Macaca fascicularis: one gene and its partner. Each later gene encodes a partner of the first gene's protein in a complex. Links are inferred from orthologs where the notes say so. Each region holds a gene or a part of one and is shown in the gene's direction. Other genes may lie near its edges.

Region 1 (11,081 bases):
AGTGAAGTTTCATTTTCTTTTTCTCCTGAAACCTAATCTGGCCGGGCTGGCTAGGCATCTATTTCCGGACTGTAAGCAGCTGACACCCGCCCGGTGGAAGTTGGCGTCCCTTCCCTTGCGGGTTCAGAGCTGCAAGAAGCACCAGGCTTGGCCACTTAAGCCCCAGCCTTGATCTAGCCCACCCTCTCAAGGCCACAGTGCAGAAGCCTGCACCACCTGCCAAGTCTCCCCGGCTCCTTGCAGCTGCTGTGAGCATGGCCCAGGCTCCTGCTGACCCGGGCAGAGAAGGTACAGTACTCCTTCCTTCCAAGGACCAGCGGTGGCTCCCGGGGTGAGATTTCCACTTCTCTTTCTTCCTGTTGTGCTTGGCCCAGATCATGATGACAATACCGGTATCCTAAAGAATAGTAGACCAACTGGGCATGGTGGCCCACGCCAGTAATCCCAGCACTTTGAGAGGCAAGGTAGGTGGACTGGTTAAGCTCAGGAGTTTGAGACTAGCCTGGCCAACGTGGTGAAACCCCGTCTCTACTAAAAATACAAAAATGAACCAGGCATGGTGGTGCATGCCTGTGATTCCAGCTACTCAGAAGGCTGAGACTGGAGAATCGCTTGAACCCGGGAGGTGGAGGTTGTAGTGAGCTGAGATGGCGCCATTGCACTCCAGCCTGGGTGATAAGAGTAAGACTTCGTCTCAAGAAAAAAAAAAAGAAAAGTAGAAAGCTGTCGTTCGACAGCTGACTATGCCCTGGGCACCTCAAAACAAGCTTCGCAAGCATTTCTCAATGGCCTGCAGGGACAAGTGCCATGTCATTCCCATTTTATAGATAACTGAGGCCCTGAGAGGTGAAATGACACTCTCGGGGTAGCACAGCTGGTGAGCACTGGTGCTAGCGTTTGAACACCCATGTCACAGTCATATCGAGAACAAAGCAGTTTGCTTTGATGAGGTACATGTATGCCCTTGTTCCTTGTTGTTGCATTCTTTCCTCAACTAACATTTCATTCATTTTATTCCTGGAAGAGCTGCAATGAAAGCCAATAGTGTATCAAGCAATTGCTGTTCTCTAGGGTCTCCACGAAGCGCTGTGGACTGTAGGTGAAGTGTGGTTTTGCAGTTTGGGGGATGGGTTTGTTTTGTTTTTAATCCTCACCGCAATCTTTGAAGTAGTTATTATTGTCTCCATTTCACAGAAGGGGAACCTGAAGCCGGGGGGAGGTCACATAGCTAGTAGTTGTCAGGGCTAGGAGCTCAAACCCAGGAAATCAGCCATCAAAATTTTAAAAAACCAACCCAGACTGTGCCCCTGGTGGGCTAATGTCAGGGTGTGGCCAGGAGCCGCGCTGGCCACCGAGTTCCTGTGGTGCTTCCTCTTCGGGGACTCACAGGTGCTGACAGAGGTTCCGGACTCAGCCCTCGCTGGCTTTCCTTGTCTTCCTCCCCAGTTGATTTTCCTTTTGTGACCAAATTGCTGCCTACACCTGCTCCATTTTACAATTTTCCATTTTCAGACATAGGAGCCTGGGACTTAGCGGTCGAGTCTAGCCCAGCACCCGGGCTTGTCCTGCATCCACACCTCTGACCCCCATCTCCTCTTGGATCTGTGGAGCAGAGGTGGTGGCTCCCTAGGGTCAGCCTTCCAGAATCAAAACTCTGCAGCCGGGCACAGTGGCTCACGCCTGTAATCCCAGCATTTTGGGGGGCCAAGTTGGGGGGATCACCTAAGGTCAGGAGTTCGACACCAGCCTGGCCAACAAAGGGAAACCCTGTCTCTACTAAAAATACAAAAATTAGCCGGGTGTAGTGGTGCGTGCCTGTCATCCCAGCTACTTGAGAGGCTGAGGCAGGAGAATTGCTTGAACCCGGTGCGTGTCTGTAATCCCAGCTACTTAAGAGGCTGAGGCAGGAGAACTGCTTGAACCCAGGAGGTGGAGGTTGTGGTGAGCCGAGATCGCGCCACTGCAGCTGCAGACTGGGCAACAAGAGTGAATCTCTGTCTCAACAACAAAAAACTCCGAGAGACAAGGCGAAGCCAGGTGTGAAGTCAGGTGCACGGGGATGCTGCTGGCTGCCGGTGGGGGAGTTTGGTAGGCGCAGGAGTGGGAATTCCCAGGTCTTCTCATTTCTCTTCACCTGCACACGGTAGCCTGTCAGCATTGTAGCCATCAGGGCGAGGCACAAACTGATTTTTCCCTCCCCTACAAGTGCTGCGACCGAAGATCCCTGGGCAACCCTAGAGAATCCTCTGAACAGGAAGAAAGCCCAGATGACAAGGACTGAGTCACTGTCCTGGAAGGGGAACTCGGGTCTTTCCCAGAAGAGCTCTCCCACGCACTGCCCTCGGGTTCCTTGAAGCAGAACCTTCTGGTGACAGGTGGGCCCCCCCCCCACCGTGGCTCTCCCAGGCTGCTGGCTGCAGGTGCTGCCTGTACCCTGTGTCTGCCCCAGCCTCATCTCTGGGCAGTGGCTGGCTTTGATTTTTTAATCATTGTTTGAGCTAATGGTTTTGATTTTTAAGAGCTGCCTCAGGAGGAGCAGGGGCCATTTGGAGAATTCCTCCTTGAATCTCTTGGGGTCCTGCTTAGGGCTCATTAAACTCAGGCCAGGAAACAGCAGCACCTGCCAACTGGCCAAGGAGGAGCTGCCTGGGTCTACTGAGTAAATGTCTGTCCCTAGAGACAGACACTCACTTACTCAGTCCTTTTTTTTTTTTCCAGAGATGGGGTCTTGCTCTGTTGCCCAGGCTGGAGTACAGCGGTGCATTCATAGCTCACTGCAGCTGCAACCTCCTAGACTCAAGCGATCCTCCCATTTCAGCCTCTTGAGCATCTGGAACTACAGGCACGTGCCATCATACCTACCTGATTTTTTTTCTGTTTTTGTAGAGATGGGGGTCTCACTATGTTGCCCAGGCTGGTCTAGAACTCTTGGCCTCTAGGGGTCCTCCAATCTCAGCCTCCTGACATGCTAGGATTACAAGTGTGAGCCACCACTCCTGGTCCCATTCATTCATTCATTCATTCACTCAGTCACTCATACATTCAACTGCCATTTCCTGAGCACGTCCTGTGTGCCCAGCACTGTGCTACATGCTGACGGTACAACAGTGAGCCACGCAAGTACAGCAGGGGACACGAGGGGACCCACACACAAGCAGATCCCAGCCACTCTGGAACACAGGGACAGGCTTCCCCAAGGAAGTGGCATGTGAGGAGGCTGGAGGTTGAGTAGACATCATACAGGTTGGGATGTGGGGGAAGGGTGTTCCTGGCAGCCGGAACAGTGTGTGCAAAGGGGCTGGGGTGAGTGGGGCTAAAGGGAGCACAAACAGGCCAGCACTTGGAGGGAAGTTGGGAGCAGGTGCAGGTCAAGCTGGGTGGTCGGCAGAGCCAGATCTGGAGGGTACCCGACTGGAGCTGGTGGGCCAACCGGGAGCCTATTGCTGCACCCAGGAGATGGTGGTGAGGAAGCGGGTGGTGCCGGCAGAAGAGAGGAGTGGGGCAATTCCAGAAAATCCAAGAATGGCATTTCCAGGGCTCCACGACTGGGCACTGGGGGAAAGGTCTGTTTCTGATGTCTGGTCGGTTTCTGGCTTCGATGGATAGTGGCACCATGGAAGGATGGTGAGCTGAGAAGAGGCGATTGATTCCCAGGGAGGATGGCAATGGGCATCAGGTACACCCAGGCAGGACTTGCCTTTGTGCTCCCAGGTCCCCCTGCCTCCCTCTGGCTCCGTCCTTCTGCCCTCTACTCCTCTCTGCCCTGAGGACACCTGAGAGCTGAGGAACCCCACTGCCCCCTGGCACCCACACCCGGGGAGGGCACAGGCGAGGCGGCACCTCCTCTGGCTGCCAGGCCATTTCTGATCAGCCTGCATGCCTCTCTCTGGGCAGGGGCAGCTGCTCTGCTGCTCTTAGGGGGTATCTGCTGGGGTCTTTGCCCTCTCCTCTGCCCTGGACACCTCTCAAAAAGGGGCCTCACGTGCCTCTTGGAGCCTCCAGCCTGGGCTCATCTGTGGGGACCCGGGAGACTCAGTCCCTATCTCTGTCCCCCGCTCACTCCCCCAGGCCACCTTGAACAGAGGATCCTGCAGGTGCTGACAGAGGCTGGCTCCCCAGTGAAGCTTGCCCAGCTGGTGAAGGAATGCCAAGCACCCAAGAGGGAGCTCAACCAAGTCCTCTACCGAATGCTAAAGGAGCTGAAAGTCTCCCTCACAGCCCCCGCCACCTGGCGCTTGGGCGGGACTGGTCCTGGAGGCGAGGGTCCTGCAGAGCTGGCCCTGTCCAGCCCTGGTAACTGCCACCCTGGGGAGGTGGGTCTGACCAGGCAGGGACCATCCTGGCAATGGACAAGCATAGATTTGAGCCTGGGTTCGAATCTGAGTTCTGCCACTTGGGAGCTCACGGGTTTCATCTCTGTGCCTTGGTTTCTTTTTCTGGTTGATGGAGCTGACAGCAGGGCTGCTTGGTAGGGGTTGCTGAGAGAAGGCCTTGCATCAGGCTCAGCCCAGCCCTGCACACAGAAAGTACTCAGCGGAACACTAACAATTATAACAGAAAATCATCATGATGGAAACAGCAATGACATGATGGTCCTAATCACAGAACACACTCAGTCCCACCAGCCCCCCTTTTCTAGCTTTACAGCCCACAGCCAGAAAGAGCTGCCATTTGTCATGCACTTAAGATTAGCTGGGCACTGTTTCAGGGTTCACCCAGCCCTCACACAACCCCAGGAGGCAAAGGAGGTTGAGCCCCGGAGAAGTAAACCAGCAGGAAGCCGCAGCTGCCAGGGCACAGGCAGGACTTGATGTCAAGTGTGTTTAACTCTGGAGTCTGAGTTTGCAACTACCGGCGTTGCAGCTCACCCTAGGGTGCTGCCCACCTTTGTGGGGTGGAGCCCTGGTGCTGTTTTCTGTCCCCCACCCCTCTGACCCGTCTTTCTTTCTCCAGCCGAGAGGCCCCAGCAATGTGTAGCTACAGTTCCAGAGACCCCTAGCCCTCAGTTCAGCCAACAGCGGGGTAAGTCATTGCATGCCCCTTCAGCTCCCGGGACACAGGATCCCACTCCTCAGGAACCCCAGGCCCTCCTTGAGGGTACGAGATCTCACCAGTGTTCAGGGGCCCTGTCCCACCCACCAGGTGGCTCCCAAACAGTGTTCAGAGCCAAGACCCAGCCCTGACAGCGGGAGAATCTGAATGTCGAGCAGTGATTTCTCCAGTCAGACAATAGCTGACCCTCACCATGCACCCACCATGTGCCAGGCCCAGGGCAGAGCACTGCGTGCACATCCCCCATCCTCAGGGCACCTCTGCGGTGCGTCATCATGACCCCGTTATCGTGGTGCCCATTTTACAGATGAGGAAACCAGGCCTCGAGGGGCTGGGTCCAGGGCCACACAGCTAGAAAGCGGTGGGTGAGGCAGATGCAAATTCTAGGACTCCTCTCTAACCACGTGGCCGTCCTGCCTCCCAGAGGAAGACATCTACAGGTTTCTCAAAGACAATGGTCCCCAGAGGGCCCTGGTCATCGCCCAGGCACTGGGAATGAGGACAGCAAAAGATGTGAACCCAGACTTGTACAGGATGAAGAGCAGGCACCTTCTGGACGTGGATGAGCAGTCCAAAGTGTGGACGATTTACCGCCCAGGTAGGCCCCCAGCTGCCTGCACCTGGGCTGCAGAGGGAAACCATGACACTAGCGCTTGGTCTTTGCTGGGTGCTCTGCTGAGAAGCTCACCAGAAACTGCCAGAAGCTTCTGGAGGTCCCACTGACAGTTCACTGCAAGGGCTTCCAGGAGGAAGGGGTGTGCTGGCAGGATTAACCAGGAACAGCTTCCTGGAGTCGTGGCCCAAGGGCTGCAGTTGCAGAAGGCCAGCGAATGGGATGGAGGTGGCCCATTCCCAATGTTCTCAGCTCTGAGGTGCAGGTATCAGTCTGGGTTTGGGAATAGTTTTCTTTGAGCACTTTGCCCAAGTTGGGGTTTTAAAGTTGGCAGAAGAGAAGGCAAGACTAGGCTCAGACCCCTACTGGGTGGAGCCCCAGGGTCGTCTTCCCTGTGAGATCTAATAGGCGCAGGGCCAAGATCCAACAGGCCCATGGCACTCTTAGGGGTCCTTGAAAATGTTTTAATTTTAATTTCATTTAAAATCAGAAGAAATGAATACTATAATAATAATGAATATCTAAAAATGGACCAGGCGTGGTCGCTCATGCCGGTAATCCTAGCACTTTGGGAGGCTGAGGCAGGCGGATCACCTGAGGTCAGCCTGGCCAACATGGCAACCCCCTGTCTCTACTAAAAATACAAAAATTAGCCAGGCCTGGTGGCCGGCGCCTGTAATCCCAGCTACTCGGGAGGCTGAGGTAGGAGAATAGCTTGAACCTGGGAGGCAGAGGTTGCAGTGAGCTGAGATCACACCACTGCACTCCAGCCTGGGCAACAAAAGTGAAACTCTGTCTCAAAAGAAAATTAAATTAAATTAAATTTAATTTAAAAATCCGGCCTGGGTTATCCTTGACATACAATGTAATTTAAATATTTGTGTATGGGGGAAGGGCCCACAAAGGCACAGGAGCCGAGACCCCAGAGGGTGGTGATGGGCCCCACACAGTCTGGGCAGGTGCCTGCCTCGACCGCCATAGGGCGACTCTGCTACTCACGATGGGTGTCCGAGGGGGTCTCAGCATCCTAGGGCTGCTATAAGGAAGGAATAATGCATGACAGTCACCAGATTTTAAACACGAGTGACAAATTCAAATATCTAAAATGTCATGGGTGCGAAGCACAACTGATCTGTCCAATGGGCTGCTGTCTCTCGGCCACTACTCAAGGGAGAAGGGCAATGGTGCAGGTGCTCGGGGGTCCGGGCTGTGGCTGCCCCCCAGGGAGAGCAGTGTGGGGCCCCTGCAGTCCTCCCAGCCAGCAATCATGGCGGCCCAGCCATGGGGGCAGCAAAGGACACAGGTAGGGTGACTCACAGGGCTATTTTCAAGCGAGGCTCCCTCTGAGGTACCTGGGGTGTCTGTTAAACACTCAGCTCTGGCCTCCCACTTGGCCCTACTGACTCGGAACGCCCAGGGTATTTTAACAAGCTCCCCAGGAGAATTTGGTGCTGCCCACTGGTATTGGGAACCCCTGACCCATAGAGAGGGGCGAAGGGATAGAGTTGAATATTATTTTGCAGAAGGTTCTGGAAGAAGAGCAGAGTCGGCCTCAATTATTTACCAGCACAATCCAATCAACATGATCTGCCAGAATGGACCGAATGGCCGGATTTCCATTGCAAACTCCGAAGCCATCCAGATTGGACACGGGAACATCATTACAAGACACACAGCCTCCAGGGAGGATGGTGAGTTACCCGAGAGAGCCCGGGGAGGGGACCTCGGTGGGAGGCCACCTGATCCACTGGGTGGGGGCAAAGGGTAGGGATGGGGAATGGGGGAATTCAGCCCTCCAAGGGGAAAGGGTTGCTTCCAGATCCCCACAGTCCACCTTTGTGGCCGTCCTGAGAATGAGGACGCCCGGATCAAAGCTCTCCTGATTTCCCTGTATTCTGATACCTTCTACGTCATTTTAAAATTTAATTTTATTTTTATTTTTTAATAAAATTTTAAAATTAAGATGGGGTAGCTCTGTGTTGCACCTGACCTTGTGCCTCATTTTCAATGGGGTCCGGTGTTTTTCATGAGAAACGACTCAATTTCCTCTCCCTCCGGGGAATGCCACAGGGGAGGTGATCATAGCACAGTATTTGTTCTGAGACACGCAACTTTCCCCCACATTTTAACAGGCTGGAAACTGGGGTGCATCTCACCACCTGTGCCATCCTGGTTTGGATGAAATGCGGTGTTGCACTTTGAGCCCTTACCCTGTGCTGGGCACTGTGGCAAGAGGGAACAGAGCCACCTGTCAGCCCAGCCTTGTCACCTGTGAGTGACAGCTTCAGCCCCAAAGTCGGGACACTCCCTGTAACCTTGGGAGAACCTTTCCCCTCTGTCAGCCTCAGTTTCCCCAATTGTGAAACTAGGAACTTTGTTCTAGAATCTAGATCATAGTTTCCCCAGCTTTAATCCTCTGAGCCCCACATTCCCGATTCTGGCCATACTCATGTCTGATTATTTAATTAATGTTGAGTAGTGCACATTTTTAAAATTTTATTTTAAAACAATTTTATAGTATTATTTTAAATGAAAACCATTAAAATCACCATAAAAATAAATTGTCCCTGGCAGTTAAAACACTGCAGGAGGCTCTGAGCCTTTGGTGTTAGCACCAAAGGAGACTTTGTCTCTATGAGATCAGAAGGCTCGGGAATGACAGAATCAGAACGAGGAGCTCATTGTTTGGGTTTGTGAGTGTCCCTGCAACATCCAGGCACCAGCCCCAGTCCTGAGAACCCAGGGAGCCCCAAAATGAGCTATTCTGCCAGGTACTCTTGCTGTCTAAGCCAGAGCCTGAAGTCTTTGGCCCCCAGTTTGATGGTGTCTAGGAAGAATTCAGAGGACAGGACTGTGGGTGGTGGTGAGGAGGGGGAAGAAGCCTGCAGTAATCTCTGGTGAGGCTGTGCCACTGTCCCCTGCCAGGTTCTACTGGTCCCCGCCACCTCCCTTCAATGGCACCAGGTCATTCCTCAACTCAGGGGACCCTGAATGATCCCTGGGGGCCCCAGGACATCCACATGGAGCGGTCCATGCTCAGACGGGTGCAGCTGGGACACAGCAATGAGATGAGGCTTCACGGCGTGCTGTCCGAGGGCCCTGCCCACAGCCCCCCTGGCAGCCCTCCAGGTAACTGGGGATCTAGAGGCCAGACCCACCCCTGTCACCCCGTGGGTCCTCACTGGAAGGAACTGGAGCCAGAATCTTTGTGGGCAGAGAAGCATGATGGGAAATTCCTTTCCTTCCACCAGGCAGCTGAACCAGAGCAGAGCAGGTGGGGTTTTTAAAGCTAGCACTCTAGGCTGGACACAGTGGCTCCCACCTGTAATCTTAGCACTTTGGGAAGCCAAAGTGGGTGGATCACCTGAGGTGAGGAGTTCGAGACCAACCTGACCAATATGGTGAAACCATGTCTCTACCAAAAATACCAAAAAAAAAAAAAAAAAAAAAAAGTACTGGGCATGGTGACATGTGCCTGCAATCCCAGCCACTCAGAAGGCTGAGGTAGGAGTATTGCTTCAACCTGGGAGGCAGAGGTTGCAGTGAACGGAGATCGCACCACTGCACTCCAGTCTGAGTGACAGAGTGAGACTCCATCTCAATAAATAAATAAATAAAATAAAGCTAGCCCTCTGGATCCCCATCCCCTACAACCCACTGCAGGAAACCTCAGTTTCCCCATTTGTAAAATGGGCAGAGAAGCAGAGGCTGGGCCAGCTGGAGTAGGGTGATGGTTTGATACTGGAATGGTGTTTAGGGAGGTTGGAAGACAGGTGCCCTACTAGGTGCTGTGGCTGCAGTGACCAGAGGGCCCCGGGCAAAGGCCTCCCCCGCAGTGGGAATGCAGAGATGGGCTGGGGGAGAAGAACCAGCAGGGAAGCCAGAGAGGGAGGAGGAAAGCAGAGGCCCCGGGAAAGGAGTCACCAGAGAGCGGCCAGGCTGGCGAGCCCAGGGAAGCATCTGTGGGGTTCAGCGAGAGGGGTCGTGGTGACCTTGCGGGGGTGGTTTCTGGGAACCAGGGAGCAGAAGGGGTCTGGGGAGTGGAGGAGGTGAGACTCAGTGTGGATGGTTCTTCAGAAGTTTGGGTGGGAAAGGGCAGAGCCAGATGACAGGGGCTGGGGCCAGGCTGGGAGCCCCCATAAGATTTCAACCAAAAGTGGGGGCCAGTGTTCCAGTGCAGTGGGAAGCAGGCAGCAGAGGAGAGAGGAGCTGAATCCCAGAAGACACTGGCGTCCAGATCAGCTGGGCAGGATCAGTGGGGCAGACCCACCAGCTGGTGGAAAGACGCTTCCCAGGCAGCCCAACAGCACGTGTGGAGGTGTGGTGGGCAGGCACAGGCTGTGCGCCTGGGATGGTGTGGGCCGCTGGTGGGAGGTCTGGGGAGGAGGGTGAGTCAGTCTGGGGGTCAGGGCTCCGGGCCACTATCCAGCTGCTCCTGGCTCCAGGCCTGTCTCCCTTTGACCCACAGTCTCTGCCACTGCTGCCGGCCCAGAAGCTTTGTTTGAAGCAAGAATGCCCAGTCCAAGAACTCACCCCAAGGGGGATGCCGCCCAGAGAATCTACATGAAATCATGCTTTCTCGAGGATGCCACCATCGGCAACAGCAACAAAATGTCTATCAGCCCAGGGGTGGCTGGCCCAGGAGGAGTCGCAGGGTCTGGAGACAGGCAGCCAAGGGAGGACGCAGGTGAGCTGGGGTACCGAGTGGACCCCTGTGTGTTCTCTTTCTCTCCCCACCTTCCACTCATTCATTCATTCATTCTCATCAATCATTTGCTAATCTCTGGTTTCCCAGAGTCTGGAGGCAATGCTCACCCATAGCGAGGAGCAGCAGCTCTACAGTCAGAGCTCGAGGCTCCGTCCGCCTAGTGGAGGGGCCCACCCAAGTCACTTCACCCGGGAGCCTCTGTCTCCTTAGCTGGAAAGTGGGATGGTAAGAATAGCCTGAAGCAACCCCTACAGTGGTTGCAAGGCTGAGATAAAATCTGAAGGCAGAGCTCAGCCCTGCACCAGCCCTGCCAGCATTCAGGAGATAGGAGTGTTATTGCTGTCATGATTGTTTTGGGCCCAGAAAGGTGCTGGGTTGCCATGCAAATAAGGTTCTGCATCAGGGCACAGGCTGACTTGCCGCAGCGGAGACGCCACACATGGTGGCCCCGCCTGCTCGAAGCCCAGGTCTCATGTCTGGGTGAGGGTAGCAGACCAGGGATTCTTTTCCCTCAGGGATGAGTTGTCCCTGGGGCTCTATCCTCATCTGTGGGGTTGAACTTGGCACCAGCAAGCAGAGGGGCAAGACAGGTACAGAGAGCCGCTGTTGTCTTTGACCAAGCCCACCCACCGCATCTGCGCTGTTCCGAGGGCCAGCACTTAGCCACGGGGGATCTGGGAAGTGCCGCCTGTGTCGAGGCAGCCTAAG
Region 2 (11,081 bases), on another chromosome or scaffold:
CGAAGAGAAAATGTGATCACAGTCTACAGAAGTCCTGCAAGATTAAAATAAAATGCTGAAAATGATAAATGAGATAATCAGTAACAATGTCCACCTGATTATTAAGGCAAATGAGAGATTTATAGTGGGCAGACAAGCTTGTCCACAAATATTGGTACCACGGTGTGTGAGATGAAGTATGGCTGATGTGATGTGGTAGAACGGTAGGTTGATTCCCTTGGCCTCCTTGATGCTGTTTTCTCGCCGATGCTGTGAACATAGAAGAGACTTTATCTGCATACCTTTCTGAAACCAGTTGCATGGAACTAACTTATCATTAGAAGGTTAGTGTAACTTCTTTCTAGAGCAGAGATCCTGCTACAATATCCCTGTCAGACAGTCAACCACTTTCTGATCTTTGAAAGGTAATGACAGAGTACCTACTGCCTCATAAAACAGTATCGTTTCTGTTTTTAGTAAAATCAAAGTGATTGCCTTGCTATTTCAGCCCAGAGTTGTTCAAATTCTATCAGAAATGACATCTAATAATTTCTCAGGCCCTCTTCTGCCTGAGAGTGCCTTAAGTCATTAAACACGACCATCTTGTTACATGGTCTTTTTAAAAATCAGGACTAGGAGTTGGCTTTTCACAATAACATATAACCTGACCATAGATGTGGAGGAGCCCAGCCAAAGTATACAACTGCATTTTGTAGGCATTAGTGAGGAGCCAACATGCCACCCATCCATCCATTTCTTCATCCATTCAGTAAATATCTATTGAATTGCTAATAGGTACAAGGAAAGCTTTTAGGTTCTTATGATAAAACAAGGTGTTAAAAACAAATCCAAATTTTATACAGCTTCTATTCTAAAGGGAAAGTAGATATTTTTCTTACAGGAAAATTTATGAATGTAATTAATTGAGACAAATGCTCTAATGGAAAGGAAGATGGTTCTTCAGCAGCATGTGTCAAAGGAGCATTAACATAAGCCACGAATTAGAGTTGGTGTTGGTCAAAGTGGGTTCCATAGGGAAGTGACCCTTGCACTAAGCTCTGAAAAATGCATAGGAGTTAAAGGTACCTTCAGTCAGAGGGAACACTGTGAAAATCCCTATGACAGCAGGTGTTGACCTGCTTGAGGACTGAAAGAAGGCCAGTGTAGCTGGAGTACAGAGAGTCTTCAGAGGGCAGGATGGGGTCCCCTCGATAGAAGGACAAGGCAAGGCCTTGTAGAACATAATTAGAAATCTGTGGCCAGGTGCGGTGGCTCATGCCTGTAATCCCAGCACTTTGGGAGGCTGAGGTAGGCGGATCACAAGGTGAGGAGTTTAAGACCAGCCTGACCCACATGGTGAAACCCCGTCTTTACTAAAAAAATACAAAAATTAGTCAGGCATGGTGGCATGAACCTGTAATCCCAGCTACTCAGGAGGCTGAGGCAGGAGAATCACTTGAACCTGGGAGGTGGAGGTTGCAGTGAGACGAGATTGGGCCACTGCACTCCAGCTTGGGTGACGGAGTGAGACTCTGCCTCAAAAAAAAAAAAAAGAAAAGAAAAGAAATCAGCCCTTGTTTCATAGCAGTAGTTTATTCATTTTCACTACTACATAAGATTCCATTTAATTGATAATTACATACACATATAAACTCATATACATATACATATATAGAGAGAGAATTGGTCTATTTTTTATTGTTATTTTAGTCATTTGAGGCCATTGTGAAAAATGCTGCTATGAATATTTATTATAAGCCTTATGTACTTATCTTTGTATGTTTGTATTTGTATGTGTGTTTCTCTTGACTGTACACCTGTGAATGGAATTACTGGATGTTAAGGTAAGTAGATATTGAATTTCAATAAATAGAGTCCCAAACCATTTTCCAAAGTGTTATACCGATTTAAGACTAAGACTTCATAGTTTCTTTTGTTTTTTGTCTTTTGTTTTTGTTTTTTGTTTTTTTTTTTTTTGAGACAGACAAGGTCTCACTGTGTCATCCAAGCTGGAGTGCAGTGGTGTGATCACGACTCACTGCAGCTTTGAACTCCTGGGCTTAAGTTATCCTCCTGCCTCACCCTCCCAAGTAGCTGAGACTGAAAACATGTGACATTGCACCTGGCTAATTTTGAAAATATTTTTTATAAAGATAGGGTCTCCCTATGTTGACTAAGCTGGTCTCAAACTCCTGGCCTCGGGTTGATCCTCCAGCCTTGGCCTCCCAAAGTGCTGGGATTACAGGTGTCTGTGCCAGGTCCAGTTTCTTTCATTTTAAAACAAGATTTTTTTTTTTTTTTAGAAAAATTAACTGCTCTTGAAGATATCTTAATATGGTTTTAGTATTTATTTCTGGTGACATTTGAAAATGTGCACTGCTCATATGTTTATATGCTTATTGGCCATGTCTTCCATTTTTTAATCAGTTGATAAGGAATACAAATCGGTAACAAAACCAAAGCCACTAAGTCAACCTGAAATGAGTCCTGCTGCATCTGCAGCCGTCAGAAATGATGTCACAAAGCAACGTGCTGCACCAAAAGTCTCTCCTCATGTTAAGGTAGGATGAGGAGAGTGGAGTGGTCTTTGTCCTTGTAAGAGCATCACTGTCACTGTCATTTCCCACATTGTTCTCTGTTCTTTATCTCAGAGCATGCAAATAAGGGAATTAAGGCCACAGTGTGAAAAGCACTCTGAGTCACAAAAACAGGAACTACCTCTGATTAATCAGATTAAACACCTGTTGAGCTTCTAATCTCTGTCAGGGCCTGGACACATTAACACTCTGTTATGGTTTGGATTCTATAAGACGAAAACTCTGAGATAGACAGTTGTTTACAGGAAGTCTATTTTAGAGCACTTTCAGAATTAGTATCTGTGAGGAAGTGAAAGGAGTAGAAGAGGAAGAATGTCAAGTCCAATATAGTTGCAATAGAGGCCTTGGCCTACCCCACAGGGAGCTCGGGAGCTGAGAATGCCCTTCAGGGCTCCCAAGACTGGTGGGGGAGTCTGTGGTTTGCACAGACCCAGGCTCTGGGTCACATCAGAGATCTATTGCAGAGACTCTTACACTCGGCCTGGCATGCCTCTGTTTGTTTTCCCCTGTATTTTCCCTTAGTTCTTGACAGCAAATTGCTTTTTAAAAGTAATGTAAAAAAGCCCTTTATACACCTGCATGGACAAGGTGAGGTGGCCCTGTTTAGCTGAGAGAGTAGTGCCTGAAGAGTCTCATTGATGAGAATGATTACTTTAGTCCTGAGGGAGCGGCAGGCAATATCGGAAAGGCCCAACACAGAATCCACCACACATGCAATTTCATTTCCTGTGAAGCAGGTGTTACACCATTTTATAGCTGTGTGAGCTCTAGAAACTGATTACACATACTTCATTCTCTTTGTCTAGAGGAGCCATTTCCTCTGGGTTTGGCCCAGAAACTTCTGGATTTTTCAGAAAACAAGGTTCAAGTATACATGGTGTGATTCCATCACCAGTAATGAAAATGTGCATCATTCAGTCTGGAAGACTCAACTAAAGATACATGGACCAAAGAGGACTTTTGTAGTGGAACTCAGTGGAACTGACCTTTACCTGCATTGATCCAAATGCAGTCAGTTATACTGCCCGTCAGGGCCCCTTACTGGCCCCAGCTCCACTGGCCCAAGCTTCAGGTCACATCGGAGACAGCCTTCGAGACTCCTACACTTGACTTTTTATGCCTCTGTTTGTTTTTCCCTGTATTTCCATTTGGTTCTAGATGGCAAGTTGCTTTTAAAAAGTAGTATTTTCTCCCAAAACAAACCAAAAAAGGTATCTTATCTCTGTTAATTCAGAAAAATAAAAAACACAGAGAAGCGAATAAAATTACCTATAATTGTATCATCTAGGAAAAAAATATTGATGTTGGTAAATATCTCTGTAGTGTGTTTGTGTATGTGCTTTAACTGCTTATTTATCCAAAAAGAAAGAGATTTTTTATCTGTTTAGGACCTTTCCCTTTATTGAGTCAGTTATAACAGTTTATCACATTATTTCTCTAAAGCATTTTTAATATTTGTATAGTAATCTATTTGTGACTATACCATATTTTGTTTAACCAAATTCTATTTTTTATGTATTTAAATTATTTCTTTTTTTATAATTTCAAATAATAAGATATATTTTTAAAATGTAAACCTTAGTGCATAATTCATTATTTAAGGGTAAATCCACAAATGTAGTATCAATTCTCCTTTTAAATTTCTCCTTTAACTCACTTGTAAGATCTCTGACCTAGGTCTCCCCCTTAACTCACATTAAACATAGTCTACATTTTGTTACGTACAATACCTCCCTAGGAATTTGGGGAACCCTGTGCAGGTCACTGAGCTCTCTCACTTTTATACCAGAGTAAAATGAATGTTTAGGACAGTGTTGGATAGAGAAACAAGGATATATTATGCCCGAATGGAATCCACAGAAGATGGAATCAGATTTATCAGATTTACCCCGAGGCTTAGCAATATTTCAGAAATCTGATGAAGTCTTTTTATACAGCACATGGCAAAGCAAGGATTTGGTTTTAGGGATCCTTCCTCCAAAACATGTTACACCGTCTTATCTGAATACAGGAGTTGAAATCTTCCTTCTGCACTCTCTGTTCCATCTAGATCATTCTAGGCCTCAAGTCTCTTCTTATCCCCTCTGTGTCTCTTCCCTTGATTCCACCTGTCTTCTGTGGTTTCCTGAGGCTTAGCACTGTGGGTGAAGGAAGGTCCTCTCAATAGTACCTTTTTGACTCACAGCTGATATCTTTCTTCTCTTGTCTTCAGCCTGAGCAGAAACAGAGGGTGGCCCAGCAGGAATCTATCAGAGAAGAGTTTCGGAAAGACTGTTTGCCAGTTATGGTACTGAAAGCAACAAAGCCCTTCACGTTTGAGACCCAAGAAGGCAAGCAAGAGATGTTTCATGCTACGGTGGCTACAGAGAAGGAATTCTTCTTTGTAAAAGTTTTTAATACACTGCTGAAAGATAAATTCATTCCAAAGAGAATGATTATAATATCAAGATATTATCAGCACAGTGGTTTCTTAGAGGTAAATAGCGCCTCATGTGTGTTAGATGCTAAATCTGACCAAAAGGTTGATGTCCCGCTGAACATTATCAGAAAAGCTGGTGAAACCCCAAAGATCAACACGCTTCAAACTCAGCCCCTTGGAACAATTGTGAATGGGTTGTTTGTAGTCCAGAAGGTAAGTTTTCATAGCTAATTTCATATTGATTAGTAAGAATAACGTATTTTCCATCTGATCTTAAAGAGACTTTAGAAAAGGTGTTAATGTCTATACAGACAAAATAAAAAAATACAAAGTTCTAAAGAGCTGCAGAGTTAACATGCCAAAATTCATACGAAAACTCAAAAATTGTTTTTATTGTCAAAAATGTCACAATCCTGTTTCAACTTATTCTTATCCCAGTAGCCTCTGAAAAAGGAATTAGTTCGTTCACATAGTTTTTATTTCTGCGTTATTTTTGTACTTTGTCCATATTATCTTTATTTTAAGTGACTATTGTTGTGATTGCAAAATAAGTGTAGTTGAGTAATCAACCAAATTAATTGACCTGAAAAACCAATATGCAAGTCAGGATTAAAGAACTGTGATTAAATGAAGAAAACAGAAGAAAGAGTTAGCTTGAGGAGACTTATTTATTTCTTTCTTTTTAATTAAAAGTAAACTTTAATGTCGAAAATGCAAACTTGGGGAAGACAGAAAAGATCACATACAAGGCTATCACTTCACACTTGGAAGGTTGCACAGCGGCTGGCGCTCCTCTCTTTCCAGACGGTGGGGCGGCCGGGCAGAGGCCCTCCTCACTTCCCAGACGGTGGGGCGGCCGGGCAGAGGCCCTCCTCACTTCCCAGACGGTGGGGCGGCCGGGCAGAGGCCCTCTTCACTTCTCAGACGGTGGGGTGGCCGGGCAGAGGCACTCCTCGAGGAGACTTATTAGAAGTGAGAAATAATAAAGTATTATGACTCTGAGCTTCAGGGAACTAGCCTTGTGGAATGACTTTTTCTGGTCTAGGGCAGGACCTGAAGAACCGTAGAGAGGGAACCTGCTGCCCCTGCATTCAGAGCCTCAGAATAACCTCTGCTGCCTTGGGTTAGTTTTAGAAGGAATTGATAGGAAGACTCTCCAGTCCTCTTGGAAAACTCAAGTGTAAAATGACCTTGGATAGGAAGGTCATGTTCTTTGTCCCAGTTTTCAGCTTTTAATCTGGCCACTAACATATATTGATTTAGTCCACAAAATTAAAGCTAAAATACAATCAATCTCCGAAATAACTGACCAACCTCCTATTTCCTTTTGATCTAGACTTGATTGTGCATTATTTCTTGTCTTTGATTACTTACTAGACTCTCAGCTGGATCTTGCATCATTACCTCATGTCTCTCCTGGACTTGTTGTTTTAAATAGCTGTCTTCAGGCTGGGCACGGCAGCTCATGCCTATAATCCTAGCACTTTGGGAAGCCAAGGCAGGTGGATCGCCAGAGTTGAGGAGTTCCAGATCATCCTGGCCAATGTGGCAAAACCTGTCTCTAGTAAAAATACAAAAATTAGCCGGGTGTATTGGTAGGGACCTATATATAATCCCAGCTACTCTGGAGGCTGAGGCAGGAGAATGGCTTGAACCCAGTGAGGTGGAGGTTGCAGTGAGCCAAGATTGCACCATCGCACTCCAGCCTGGGTGAAGGAGCGAAACTCTGTTTCAAAAAAAAAAAAAAAAAAAATAGCTCTCTTCCAACCCCAGGGTCTTCTTTTTTCCCCTGACTAATCTGGCTACTGGCCCTGGAGAAGCTCCATCCTCTCTATCCAGCAGTTGTTGCTTCTATGGGCCACCCTGGCCTCCTCCTAAAGGAAGGGAGTTTGGGACTGGAAAGATGGGCATAGGAGACAGCATATTCTAAGTAAGACATGTCTGCCTCCTCTGTGTGAATTTGCTAACATCTATTAGATATATACCTGCTAGTTTCAAAGCAGAAACTTTTTCTTCAAGTTGACTCTTGAACAATGTAGGGATTAGGGCTGCTGACCCCGAGCAGTCGAAAATCTGCATATAATTTTTGATTCCCCCAAAACTTAACTACTTAATAGCCTACTCTTGACCAGAAGCCTTACAGACAATATAAACAGTCACTTAACACATTTTTGTGTTATACATGTTATATACTATATTCTTAAAAAGTGAGGTAGAGAAAAATGTTATTAAGAAAATCGCAAAAAAGAAAATATACTGACTATTCATTAAGTGGCAGTAGATCATCAAAGTTCTTCATCACTGTCTTCACGTTAAGTAGACTGAGGAGGAAGGAGGAAGAGGAGGGTTGCTCTTGCCGTCTTGGGGTGGCAGAGACAGAGGAAAATTCCCATGTAAATGGACCTGCACAGGTAAAATCTGTGTTGTTCAAGAATTAACTGTATTTCTTTTTAGAGCCTTCTTCTGGCATGTCTGATGTGTGACTGATGCGGCATTCCTTAATCAGATTATCAGAGGCTGGATGTTGATTTTCTTTTACAGGTAACAGAAAAGAAGAAAAATGTATTATTTGACCTAAGTGACAAGACTGGGGAAATGGAAGTATTGGCGGTTAGAAACGAGGACACCATGCAATGTAAGGAAGGAGATAAGGTTCGACTTACATTCTTCACACTGTCAAAAAATGGAGAAAAACCACAGCTGACATCTGGAGTTCATAGCACCATAAAGGTGGGAACTGCATGGAGCAAAGTCAACTCTCCAAGGGGGTGATATGTTTTGCTTTCTGTCAGGAAGCTGGACTGGAGCCATTGAACAGGATATGGAATGGAAGACATTGATATTTAATACACGTCCATCTCCCAGAACTGAGAAACCTCCCTCTTAGGAAACACGTATTCTAGATACACAGTTAAGAGAACATGGGCTTTCCAAGGCAGAGGCGCATACTGTTATGCACACAGAGCCCAAGAAAGAGCTCCTCAGTAACACTACAAGTCTAAAGCAGAAAGCTTGCCCAGAGTTGGAAAAGTCATTCTGAGTAATGTCTTTGAAAGTAGACACACAATAGATACTTTGAGGACACATTTCCCTAGCCAGTCCCACCACGCCTGCACCTACCATAGTCCAGGGCACTTGAGTCCATGTAAACCCCTACTCTTGACCTTCCACCACACCCTCCTACCCATCTCCTGCCACTAGTTGGTGCTCTTCCCCAAGTCTCAGTGTCGGTTGTACTACCTGCTGTCTCTGTAGGAGTGGAGGCCAAGACTTGAGAAATATGCATATATGACCTTGCTAAGTTGGAGTGTATTTCTCAGGTCAGATATTCACTTTGGGAGTATGATCCAAGACAAACCAATGTATTAGAAGGGTGGGAACAAAATAATTTTATCAGAAGGTGATATACACTTTAGAAGGCCATAGTGACTGCAAACAGAGGAGGGGCCACTTATTGACCGCATCTCAGACTGCATGTTTTTTTTTTTTCTCCATCCAGGTTATTAAGGCCAGTAAAAAAACATAGAGAAATAAAAAGGACCAATTCAAGCCAACTGGTCTAAGCAGCATTTAATTGAAGAATACGTGATACATCTTCTTCAATCAGATTGTAAGTTACCTGAGAGCAGCAGTTCACAGGCTCCTCTCTCCACCAAATTAGGATAGGATAATTGCTGGATAAACAAATTCAGAATATCAACAGATGATCACAATAAACATCTGTTTCTCATTCATTACAGTATCTCATTTAGTTTGTCAATCCCTTGTCTCAAGCAAAAATACTTTATCAATGTATTATATGTTTATACAAATGTAAAAGTAAACTACATGACAACAATTGCACAAAATACAAGAGGGAAGAATTAGGAGTATACTGTTAGAAGATCCTGTACAACATGTGAAGCAGTGCAGTATTATTTGAAAGTAGATACTGCATAATTAAAAATGTATATTTTGTCCCATAGGGCAATGATTTAGAAATATTTTAAAAGGTATATAAATAATAAGACAATTTGTGTTATTGGAGAAAGAATAAGCATAAAGCCTAACGGAAAACTAGAGAGCCAAAACTAGGCTTGTAAATTTACAGTCTATTGATTTTCTACAAAAGTACAAACACAGTTCAATGGAGAAAAGACTAAAATAAAGTACAAGAACAATTAGATACCTGTACTTAAAAAAACAAATCTGAGCCATTCCTCACTCTTTATACAAAAATAAAGTCCAAATGGATCATTGGCTTTTCATAAACATCCAAAACCATAAAACTTCTAGAAGACATGGGAGAAAATCTGTGTGATCTTGGTCTAGGGAAAGATTAAAGATTTTTTAGATATCACACCAGAAGCACAATCTACATAACATAAATGCTTAATAATTTGAACTTCATCAAAATGAAGAACTTCTGTTCTTCAAAAGGTACCATTAAGAGCATTGAAAGGCAAACCATAGATTGTGGCTTAATATTTGTTAGTCACATAGCTGCTGAAGACCCTGTATCCAGGCCAGGCACAGTGGCTCACGCCTGTAATCCCAGCACTTTGGGAGGCCGAGGTGTGTGGATCACCCGAGGTCAGGAGTTTGAGATCAGCCTGGCCAACATGGTGAAACCTTGTCTCTACTAAAATCCAAAAAAAAAAAAAAAATAGCTAGGCGTGGTGGTGGGCATCTGTAATTGCAGCTACTCGGGAGGCTGAAGCAGGAGAATCACTTGAACCCGGGAGGCAGAGGTTGCAGTGAGCTGAGATCACACCACTGGACTCCAGCTTGGGTGACAGAGTAAGACTGTCTCAAAAAACTAAAAGATCCTGTATCCAGAATTTATAAAGAACACTCAAAATTCAATAATTGCAAAACAACCAATTAAATGTTTAAAATGGGCACATAAAAATACACTCAACATAATTCATCTTTAAGGAAATGGAAACTAAAACTACAGTGAGATACCATTATACATTTATTAGAACAGCTAAAATTAAAATAGATTACCCATACCAAGTGCTGACAAAGATTTGGAAAAACTGAAACTGTCGTGCACTGCTGGTGGAAATGTCAAATGGTATAACCTTTATGCAAAAGAGTTTGTCCATTTTTACAAACTTAATACGTATCCACAATGCTAAGGTCTGAGGAGGATACAGAGCCGTTGAAACTCTTACTTATTGCTGGTGGGAATGAAAAGTCTTACAGTCACTTTAGAAAAGAGTTTGGAAATTTCTTATAAATTTAAACATACACTTACCACATGACACAGCAAACCTGCTCTAAGTTTTTTTATCCGCTTGAAATAATTATGTATGTTCACACAAAAATCTGCATGTAAATATTCATGAAAGTTTATTTGTAATTATGCAAAAATGTAAAAAACTCAATTATCCCTCACCTGAAAATTGAATAAGCAAACTTTTGTAGATCCATATAATTGAATTGTACTCAGCAATAAAAAGGAGTAACTACTGACACACACATCTACATGGATAGATCTTTACTCTAAGTGAAAGAAGCCAGACTCAAAAGTTTACATTTTTAATTTCATTTTATGATATTCCGTAAAGGGCAAAAGTATAGTAAAGACTAGATCAGTGGTTTCTAGGAGCTTGGAGTTGAGAGGAAGGCTGGCAACAAAGCAGCAGGAAGGAAATTTTTGTCATGATGAAACTATTCTCTATCTTAACTTTTGTGGTAGTTTCATGACTACATGCATTTGTAAAAATTCACAGAAATTTCCATTAATAAGAGTAAGTATGGTTGTTTGTAGATTATGCCATGATAAACATGGAAAACATGCATCAAGTTGGAAGATAGAATTATGGATGTTTTTGATATTCTGTTGTTTTTTTTATTTCTCTGGAAGAAATACCTATTGCTTTTAAAATAAATAAGAAAGATGACACTTTTTAAAGAGACCCACAGAAATCAGGGACTTTAAAACAATGAATATTCCTTATCCATTAGGTTAATAATGTCCAGGATTTGTGAATGTGATGATGATATGATTAAGGAAAATGTCCTCAGAAGTGTTAATTGAAATATTAGTTTGGCAACATTATTAGTAATTATGCTCATATTATTTGACCCAGTAATTC

What was found.
Region 2: ZBP1 (region 1) and AIM2 share a complex: the UniProt entries of both Homo sapiens proteins name them as parts of the AIM2 PANoptosome complex. The link is inferred for Macaca fascicularis from reciprocal best matches to the Homo sapiens genes ZBP1 and AIM2.

What each region holds. Positions count from the first base shown.
Region 1 is NC_088384.1:113,675,156-113,686,236, reverse strand, and holds the start of ZBP1 (Z-DNA-binding protein 1), read left to right. Parts: upstream 1-102; 5' UTR 103-254; coding exon 255-288; exon of another isoform or gene 289-331; intron 332-1,886; exon of another isoform or gene 1,887-2,037; intron 2,038-2,206; exon of another isoform or gene 2,207-2,375; intron 2,376-2,718; exon of another isoform or gene 2,719-2,854; intron 2,855-3,180; exon of another isoform or gene 3,181-4,068; coding exon 4,069-4,293; intron 4,294-4,953; coding exon 4,954-5,022; intron 5,023-5,476; coding exon 5,477-5,650; intron 5,651-7,188; coding exon 7,189-7,356; intron 7,357-7,797; coding exon of another isoform or gene 7,798-7,847; exon of another isoform or gene 7,848-7,959; intron 7,960-8,590; coding exon 8,591-8,794; intron 8,795-10,133; coding exon 10,134-10,352; intron 10,353-11,081.
Region 2 is NC_088375.1:102,016,409-102,027,489, forward strand, and holds the end of AIM2 (interferon-inducible protein AIM2), read left to right. Parts: exon of another isoform or gene 1-1,823; intron 1,824-2,406; coding exon 2,407-2,540; intron 2,541-3,382; coding exon of another isoform or gene 3,383-3,577; exon of another isoform or gene 3,578-3,888; intron 3,889-4,788; coding exon 4,789-5,208; intron 5,209-5,647; exon of another isoform or gene 5,648-5,957; intron 5,958-6,399; exon of another isoform or gene 6,400-6,556; intron 6,557-7,256; exon of another isoform or gene 7,257-7,527; intron 7,528-7,536; coding exon 7,537-7,725; intron 7,726-8,494; coding exon 8,495-8,521; 3' UTR 8,522-8,729; downstream 8,730-11,081. UniProt on the Homo sapiens protein: Sensor component of the AIM2 inflammasome, which mediates inflammasome activation in response to the presence of double-stranded DNA (dsDNA) in the cytosol, leading to subsequent pyroptosis.